Linked DNA regions of Elephas maximus indicus. The protein of the gene in region 2 interacts with the protein of the main gene of each other region in a pairwise test. Links are inferred from orthologs where the notes say so. Each region holds a gene or a part of one and is shown on either strand. Other genes may lie near its edges. The genes, in order: SS18 and NFKBID.

Region 1 (3,908 bases), about 82 Mb from region 2:
ATTCCCCAAATACAGCATAATAATCAAATACAATAATTTCTATGCATGTAAAATACTTACGGCAAACTTTATGAGCTTCTTATATAAGTTACCCCAAGAGTTTTTAAAAAAAGCGTATCAATTTATCATTCTACCATCTTATAATGACTCAATGGAATCCTGGCTTTAAGGGCTAAATAATTAATCTACATAAAAGGGCACTGAGGAAAAAATACTGATGTAGCAACTGGAAAGCTGGTTAGTTTCAGCGCCAGCTTTGCTATCCTGAACAAAGTACTTAACTTTTCAGGCGCTCATTCATCTGTAAAATCAAGGGACTAGAGCAGATGAGCAAGTGTTCCTCCTGAACTTGCCATTCAATGAAAACATGGGGCATAGCACCAAATCATTCTATCACAACTATCTAGGTAGCAATTTAACTGTTGCAGGAGTAAAGACGTGGCAGTCTCCTTCAGTGAAGATTTACTGCCTTGGAAACCCTAAGGGCAGTTCTACTCTGTCCCATTGGATCTCCTGAGTCGGAATCGATTGGATGGCAATGGTTTTGGTTTGATAACACTTAATTAAAAAGAAAGACCCACTTAACATTAATTGTAACTTTTTTTCTGCAAATGAATCACTCTTCACTTGTTAGAAAAAATTAATATACCCTTCTAATTACTGCAGTTATTTCTTAAACAGAATCACATAATGCAAAAATAGAAAAAAAAACCCTTGAAATGACATTAATCTAATCCTCAACATAAAATTTCTGCAACATATCATTTCAGTATATTCCTCAACCTCACAAACTTCACCGTTAAGAATGTCTTGTATCTAACGTCAATCCCTCACATTGCAGAATGAGGCATTTAATTTGAAATCCACTTTCTCTTCTCATCTGGGGATGAAAAATAATTGATCAGCATCCTTTAAATTATCACCCATGACAAATATCTTAAGAAAAATTCTTTACAGGAAAAAAGTAAATATAGAAAAACTCGGGACTGTTTCTACATCCTAAAAAGAAAAACAAGCGCCTTCAGAAACATGTGCCTGTGTGTGCGTGTGTGTGCGCACACGCACGCGCGCACACGCTGTTTGCCAGGCTGCAGATTTAGCCCAATGCACTATATGAAGCACCACATTTCCAGTCACTGCCAAGACAATTTATTCATAAAATTAAGCAACAGTTGGGCAAATGTCAAACGCCACACTACATAGAAGCTTAAAGTAAACAGAAGCCGATTAACATACTCTATTGGGGACACAATGGTGTCCTAAGTGGTACTAAAAGCTGACTTCTATTTTCATCCTTGCTTCAGTGCATAAAACCAAATCGAAACAGCTAAGGTAAACACTTATTTTAGGAAGTAATTTTTTAAAGTCCGACTGAGTAAAATTTAGAATGCAGCCTTGCTCACAGGCAACGAGGGGTAAAAAAAAAAAAAAAAAAGGACAATAAAAAACCTTTGTGTCCCAAACTGGCAGCTACACAACAGAAACAGCGGTAGCACTACACTCTAACGGGGACACAGCTCCCTGTGTATTTATCACAAATTATAATTTGTCTCGATCATCGGAGTGTTTCCACCACTGGACTGTACACGCCATGAAGGCAGGAAGCATGCCTCACCACTGTAGCTTCACCATCTAAAATAGGCGCTCAGTAAATACATGCTTCATCTGTAAACGGTTATGGGGTGACTCAAGACAGGGGAAGGGGACTCCTAAGGTAACCCCGAAGCCCGTAGGGTCCTCCCTCGCCCGCCCCTCAGTGTCTCCCGAGTCCTCCTGGGTGCTCCCCAACTCCGTTGGAGTCTGGGGGCAGGCAGAGAGGCGGGGTTGACCAGCGCTTCGAGTTTCACCCCGACTCACGCGACCCGAGGTCGGGTCTGCGCCAAGCAGCAGCGCGCGGGGCGGGGCGACGCCAAAGTAACTCCGGAGCTACGCGCGGGGGCGCGGGGGGCGCCGACTCCGAGCAACAGCCTGTCCTCGCTCGGCCCCGCCGCTGGGCGCACGCGCCCCGCTGCCCAAACGCCGCCCCATCCCTAGAGAAATCAGGCAGCGCTTAATTGGGCTTTTGTGCTTGAAGAAAAGAGCCTAAACACGCGAAGACTCCTCGAGAAAACTGGTTCGGCCTCTTCGCCACCCACTCGGGCACAGCCCGCGGCTCTGGTTCCCACACGACTGCTTCCCAGCAGGCCCGCCTCCGCCCCCGGCCGGGCCGACTCCCGGCCGGCCCTGCCCCAGTGTCTCTCCCAAAGGCGGGGTGGGCCTGGCATCCCCGACCCGCAAGGTTTCACCTTCTGAATAGCAGCGGGGGTGATCTCCCCCTTGCCTCGCTGCCTCGGGGCTGCGAACGCCACAGACATGTTGCCGCCGTCACCACTATCAGCAAGTCCCGAGCGCTCCGAGTGAACGGCAAACTGGGGAAAGACGCCGGCCTCCGGGTTAAACCACCTCTGGAAAAAGGGGAGGGGGGTTCTCCGGTGCCGAACAAACCATCAGCCGGTCTGGCCCTAAGAAGAAACTCTCACCCGCGAAATTTTTGTTTTTACTTATTATTTAGGAACGACAGCTCCAGTATAACTTCCCTGTTCTTGACTGTCCCCGCATCTCTTAGCCTTTCTTTATCCAGCTCCCCCCCTTTAGTTTTTGCCAATGGTAAGGCCGCGCCCCAGCCCTCCCTCCGCTTCAGCGATTCAGGAAATGGTCCCGCCGCCGCGGGAGAGAGAGAGGCTGGGGCAGCCCCTGTCACAGGAAATGCTAGCGACCCGAGCCGGCCCGCCCCTTTCGCGTTGCTGCAACTTGCCTCCCTCCCCGGCGCGCTGAAGCGTCGGTCCAACTGCGTTTCAGTGGTCCGTTTTGGACCTAATTCAGTTTTCCTAACTCCCTTCTCACTCCTGGGAAGAAGTAGCCGACTGGACTTGTCCGGGTCCTCGCCACGGTGCGGGGCAGGACGGGGCAGCCCGGAGAGGGGTGGATCAGGACCTGGGAGGTCATGCAAACCCGAGTAACAGCAGCCAAGATGAAGCAGAGGTGCAAGGAGTATGTGAACGCGGATTCGCTGGTTTAAACAGCTCGGCTATGCCCCAGATGCGCACCTCCGAGTCCACGGTCTCGCACGCGCACAAAGTCGAGCCTAACAATTGAAAAAAGTAAGCCTGACGCAAAATAGGGAAACGAGGGTTGTGTCCTGTACTTAGGGGCAGTCAACCACCTTGACCAGGGCGACCATAGGAGCACATCTCTTGAGACAAACCCTTGCATAAGTGATGATTTCAACTGAGTTGGATCTTTGGAACTGAATTTTGAGATACAGTACCCTCACTGTTTCCTTTTACAGTTATATTTTGGTGGTGGTGTTAGTTGCCCTGGAGTCCATTCCGGCTCAATGGAGACCCCATGTGTGCAGAATAGAATTGTTCCATAGGGCTTTCAAGGCTGTGACCTTTCAGGAGCAGATAAGCAGGCCTGTCTTCCAGAGAGGGCTGGTTCCAACAGCTTAACCGTTTTTGCCGCCCTAAAACCAAACCTATTGCGGTTGAGTGGATCCTGACTCATAGTGGTTCTGTAGAACAGAGTAGAACTGTTCCATCTTGTTAATGGAAGCAGGCGGCCACATCTTTCTCCCTGGAGCAGGCAGGTGGATTCTAACCGGGTGGGGTTCTTTACGAAACCCCATCTATAATCAGATAAAACGAATCAACAATTACTTAAAACAAAGGTTGGAATCCATGGCCTTTTGGTTAGCAGCCAAGCACTTAACCACTGCTCTGCCTTCAAAAACAAACAAAAAAAAAACCAAACCCAGGGCCATCAAGTCAATTCCGACTCATACCGACCCTATAGGACAGAGTAAAACTGCCCCCATAGAGTTTCCAAGGAGTACCTAGCGGATTTGAACTGCCGACCCTTTGGTTAGC
Region 2 (3,908 bases):
GTCTCTTCTTCCATGGAGCAGCTAGTGGATTCGAAACTCTGACCTTTGGGTTAGCGGTCAGGTATTTAACCATTGCGCCACCAGGCCTTCTTATAAATATAAAATAAAACCAAAAAAACCAAGCCCGTTGCAATCGAGTTGATTCCAAGTCATAGCAACCCTATACAGGAAAGTGAACAAATGGATGGGGTAGGACTGGCCATGGGTTGCTGGTTACTGACATTAGGTACATGGAGCTCTTATATTATTTTCTGTACTTTATCTGTGTTCAAAATTCTTTAACTAAAATAATAAAAAGTCTATGTTTAATTTTTTCAACCAGCTCTCTGTGACTCAGCTCCTACCACGCAAAAGGAAGATAATAGAATCGCTAAGAGCCAGGTTCTGGGGTCAGACCTCCTAGGTTCCAATCCCTTCTCTGACACTCACAAGCGACAAGATTTTTTAGTCCGTGTGCCTCAGTTGCCTTACCAGTAAAAGAGAAAATAATTATAGTATATGCCAAAGGGTCGTTTGTGAGGATTCAATAAGCTGATTCATGAAACTCAGTGCTTCATGAATAGTTAAGTGATTGATAAATACAGGCTAAGATGAATAATGTTATTATTCCCAGTTGACAACTGGGGCACAGAGAAGTGAAGTCACCTGCTCATGGCCACACAGCTGGGAGGCAGCAAAGTCAGCATCTGTTTGGAGCCTTGGACATCCAGCTGGCCCTCCCTATCCCCCTGGCCCTCCCAGCAGCCAGCTGCCCAGGGCCTGGCTCACCTGGCTGGTGTGGTCAGCACCCACATGCAGCAACATTTGGACGCAGGCCAGTCTGTCTCGGGCCTGGGCACTCAGCACCCGGGGGCACAGGTCGGGTGGGCGCATGGCGATATTGAGGGACAGGATGGCTGTGTGGAGCGGGGTGAGGCCTGCATGACAGAGACAATGAGGGTCCTGAATCTGGAGCACCCAGCCCACCTGCCCCACCTGCTGCCTGACTTACCCTCAAAGTCTCTGGCTTCCAGGTTAACTCGGACCCCGGAGTTAAACACAGCCTGGGAGGGGAAGAAGGAAGGGTGATGGCTGAGGTTTTCCCAAGTTGACTAGCCCTGGAAACCAGGATGTAGGCAACCAGTCCACCCCAGACACCCCACCTGCCAGCTGGCCATACCGAGAGGACTCCTGGGAGCCCGTAGGTAGCAGCCACGTGCAAGACAGAACGGCCCTGGTGGTCAGTGGCATTGGGTTCCGCTCCCAGGTTCAGCAGATCCTCCACAATCAGAGGCTGGTTGGCGGCAGCAGCCACCAGAAGAGGCGTCTACAGGCCACAGGGAAGGTCAGTCCAGGCCCCCATCGCCCTCCTTCCTCAGACTGAGGACCCTAGCTCCTAGTCCCCTCTTCCCCAGGAATGCATAGTCCAGGCCCCAGCTCTCTTCTCCTCTGAACCCAGGAATCCAGGCCTTCAGCCCTCACCTTGCCCTTATGTTCACGGATGTCCAGATGTCTGCACGCCTGGAGCACCTCGGCCGCAGCATACGCTGCCCAGCGCAGCCCCCGAGCCGCAAACAGGTGCAGGAGCCTGAGGGCAGGTAGGGGGCAGCGGTGAGCAGAGCCCCCGCCCCAGCCCCAAGCCTAGCCAAGAGCCTGCAAACCCTATTCCCCATACTCACGTGTCCCCCTCCTCATCCTGGGCCAGCAGCTGTTGTGGCCCCAAGGCCAGCATGTGAGCACGGGCTGTGTCCAGGGATGGTCCCTGGACCACAGGCGGCAACTGTGGGGGTCCTGAGAGGAGTCCAGAAACTCTCCAGGATTCTGCCTGTGTCAGGGAAGGTTCTGCATAGAGTCGGGTATCCAGGGGGTCCTGAAGGACACAGGTGTGGGGAAAGCCAGTCAGCTGGTTTCCTCCTTCCCAAACTGCCATTCCCCCACAACACACACACGCGCGCGTGCACGCACACACGCATGAACAGAGTCAGGGACAGGGACAGAGCCCCTGACTGAGTGGCTAGATGTCCCATCTGTGCCAAGTGACTTTGGATCTTTGGGCCTCAGTTTTACCCTTCTGAGGAATGGGATCTTAACCCAGCCCTGGACACCTCAGAATGCTGAAAAGAGGAAGTATCCATGGTTAGCAGCCCTTTTGCACCTTGCCCCCACGTCCCCACTCTGTATCTTACCTCCATCCCTTGGGGAAATGGGCACAGCTGCCCTGGGTCCGAGGGTGGGTAGAAGCTGGAAGTCGGGAAACCTTCAGCAGCAGAAGCGGGGTAAGAGTAGGAGCTGTCGGTGTACACAGCGTGCGTGTTGGGGTCCCAGTCTGGAAGGCCTGTGGAGGGGGCCAGGCCGCCAAGTCCAGAACTCACAGTCTCCTGAGGCACTAGGAAGTGGCTATGGCCTGCGTGTGACAGGAGAGGCAGGGGCAGGCCTAGTTAGTGGGCTTGGAAAAGTCATGGGTCAGAGCTGGAGGACCTGTTGAGGGCTTCGAGGCACCCAAGGTGCTGAGGGGCTGGGGCCTGGACTCCTGGGCCACCGAAGGGAAGGACTGAGTATGCAGATTACTGGACCCGAGAGAATCTAAGGAATCAAACTGTGGTGTCCCAGCGAGAATGGGGGCCTGACTCCTAGATTCCCCAAAGCTCGAAGTGGGGCTGGGGCTGGAATTTGAGGGAACCAGCTTAGTTTCCAGACTTACCAGCTTCACCCTCATTCGCAGACGGGGTCAGGGGCTGCACCGGGGGAGCCAGGAACTGTCCCTGTCAGAGGCATAAGCAACAAGGAACAAGGGTGAGTTGATCTGGCAATCCCTCACGGTCAGTTCTCCACAGACAGGGTCTCTAAGTCAGGACAACATCTCTCTTCAGCTCTCAGGGCCCAGCAAGGAAGCAGGTCCCTGCCCACCCCACATGGTCTCTGAGAACACTCCACAGGGCCTCCTGAGCCTCACCGGGGCCCCACCGGCGTCAGGCTGCTGCTGGCGGCGCCTCTGCTCTTCCAGGAGCTTCTTCACCGTCTGTGATGGGCAGTGGCTGCGCTCACTCCGGCTCACTGCGGGGGTTGGGGGGGGCCAGGGAAGTCATCAAGGTCCTCAAGTCACTCAAGTGCCCGGGGGAGTGAATCCGAGCGCCCTCCCTCGCGGAAAAACTGGCACATTTAGGCCGCCTGGAGCGCCAAAGCCAGTCGAGGATGATGGGTGCGGCACCCGCCTCCGCCGTTTCCTTCTCTTTGCTCCTCACTTTCCCCCGACCCAACTTTCCACCAGCGTCGTGGAAACGAAGACGGGGAGGGGGAGGGGGAGGGCGCCCCTCTGTACTCCTCGTCATTTCCGTAAAAAAAACACTACCCCAAATCTACCAGTCCTGAGACCTCGGGGGTCACCAGGCATGTCTCCCTGAAAACGTATATCCAGGTACCCAACAGCTCTGTCCCAGAAGCTGATGGCTCCCTGGGAAACCAGGCATCCGAGTTCCCAGTCTCCCTCCCAGAGAAACCAAGAGCCAACAGTCCCCTAGCCAGAAAGGATCTAGAGGTCGAGGCCCCCAGTCCCTTCCTCCTTCAGACCCAAGAGTCCAGGCCCCCATCCCTCAGACTCAAGAGTCCGGGAGCACAGCACCCAGGACCCAGCAATCCAGGTCCTCAGTTCCCTCCTCTCTAGGACCTGGGTCCGGTTCCCAAGCCGGTCTCCCCTCGACCCAGGACGTCTGGGCTCCCAATCCTCGCCCTCCGAGCCAGGGCTCCGGCGAAGAAAGGGTTAAGCGGGGTGGGGCAGTCTCGGAAACAGCCCCGACGCGACGCGCTGACGTCACAGTGCTCACGCAAAGGAATCTTCCATACCCGCCCCTCCGTTTCCCTTCTGGTCCCCAGGTGTCCGGCCCGGAGGCGGGGCGCGCGGCCAAGCATGGCGCTCACGGAATCCCCGCGCA

Evidence for each region.
Region 1: the proteins of NFKBID (region 2) and SS18 interact in a two-hybrid assay, tested with the Homo sapiens proteins (2 studies listed by BioGRID and IntAct). The two-hybrid records come from large-scale screens. The link is inferred for Elephas maximus indicus from reciprocal best matches to the Homo sapiens genes NFKBID and SS18.

What each region holds. Positions count from the first base shown.
Region 1 is NC_064829.1:32,783,021-32,786,928, forward strand, and holds the start of SS18 (protein SSXT), read right to left. Parts: upstream 2,420-3,908; 5' UTR 2,355-2,419; coding exon 2,286-2,354; intron 1-2,285. UniProt on the Homo sapiens protein: Appears to function synergistically with RBM14 as a transcriptional coactivator. Isoform 1 and isoform 2 function in nuclear receptor coactivation. Isoform 1 and isoform 2 function in general transcriptional coactivation.
Region 2 is NC_064829.1:115,001,636-115,005,543, forward strand, and holds the start of NFKBID (NF-kappa-B inhibitor delta), read right to left. Parts: upstream 2,410-3,908; 5' UTR 2,172-2,409; coding exon 2,166-2,171; intron 1,850-2,165; coding exon 1,659-1,849; intron 1,568-1,658; coding exon 1,462-1,567; intron 1,307-1,461; coding exon 1,160-1,306; intron 1,044-1,159; coding exon 992-1,043; intron 918-991; coding exon 769-917; intron 1-768. UniProt on the Homo sapiens protein: Regulates the expression of IL-2, IL-6, and other cytokines through regulation on NF-kappa-B activity. Functions in the regulation of inflammatory responses.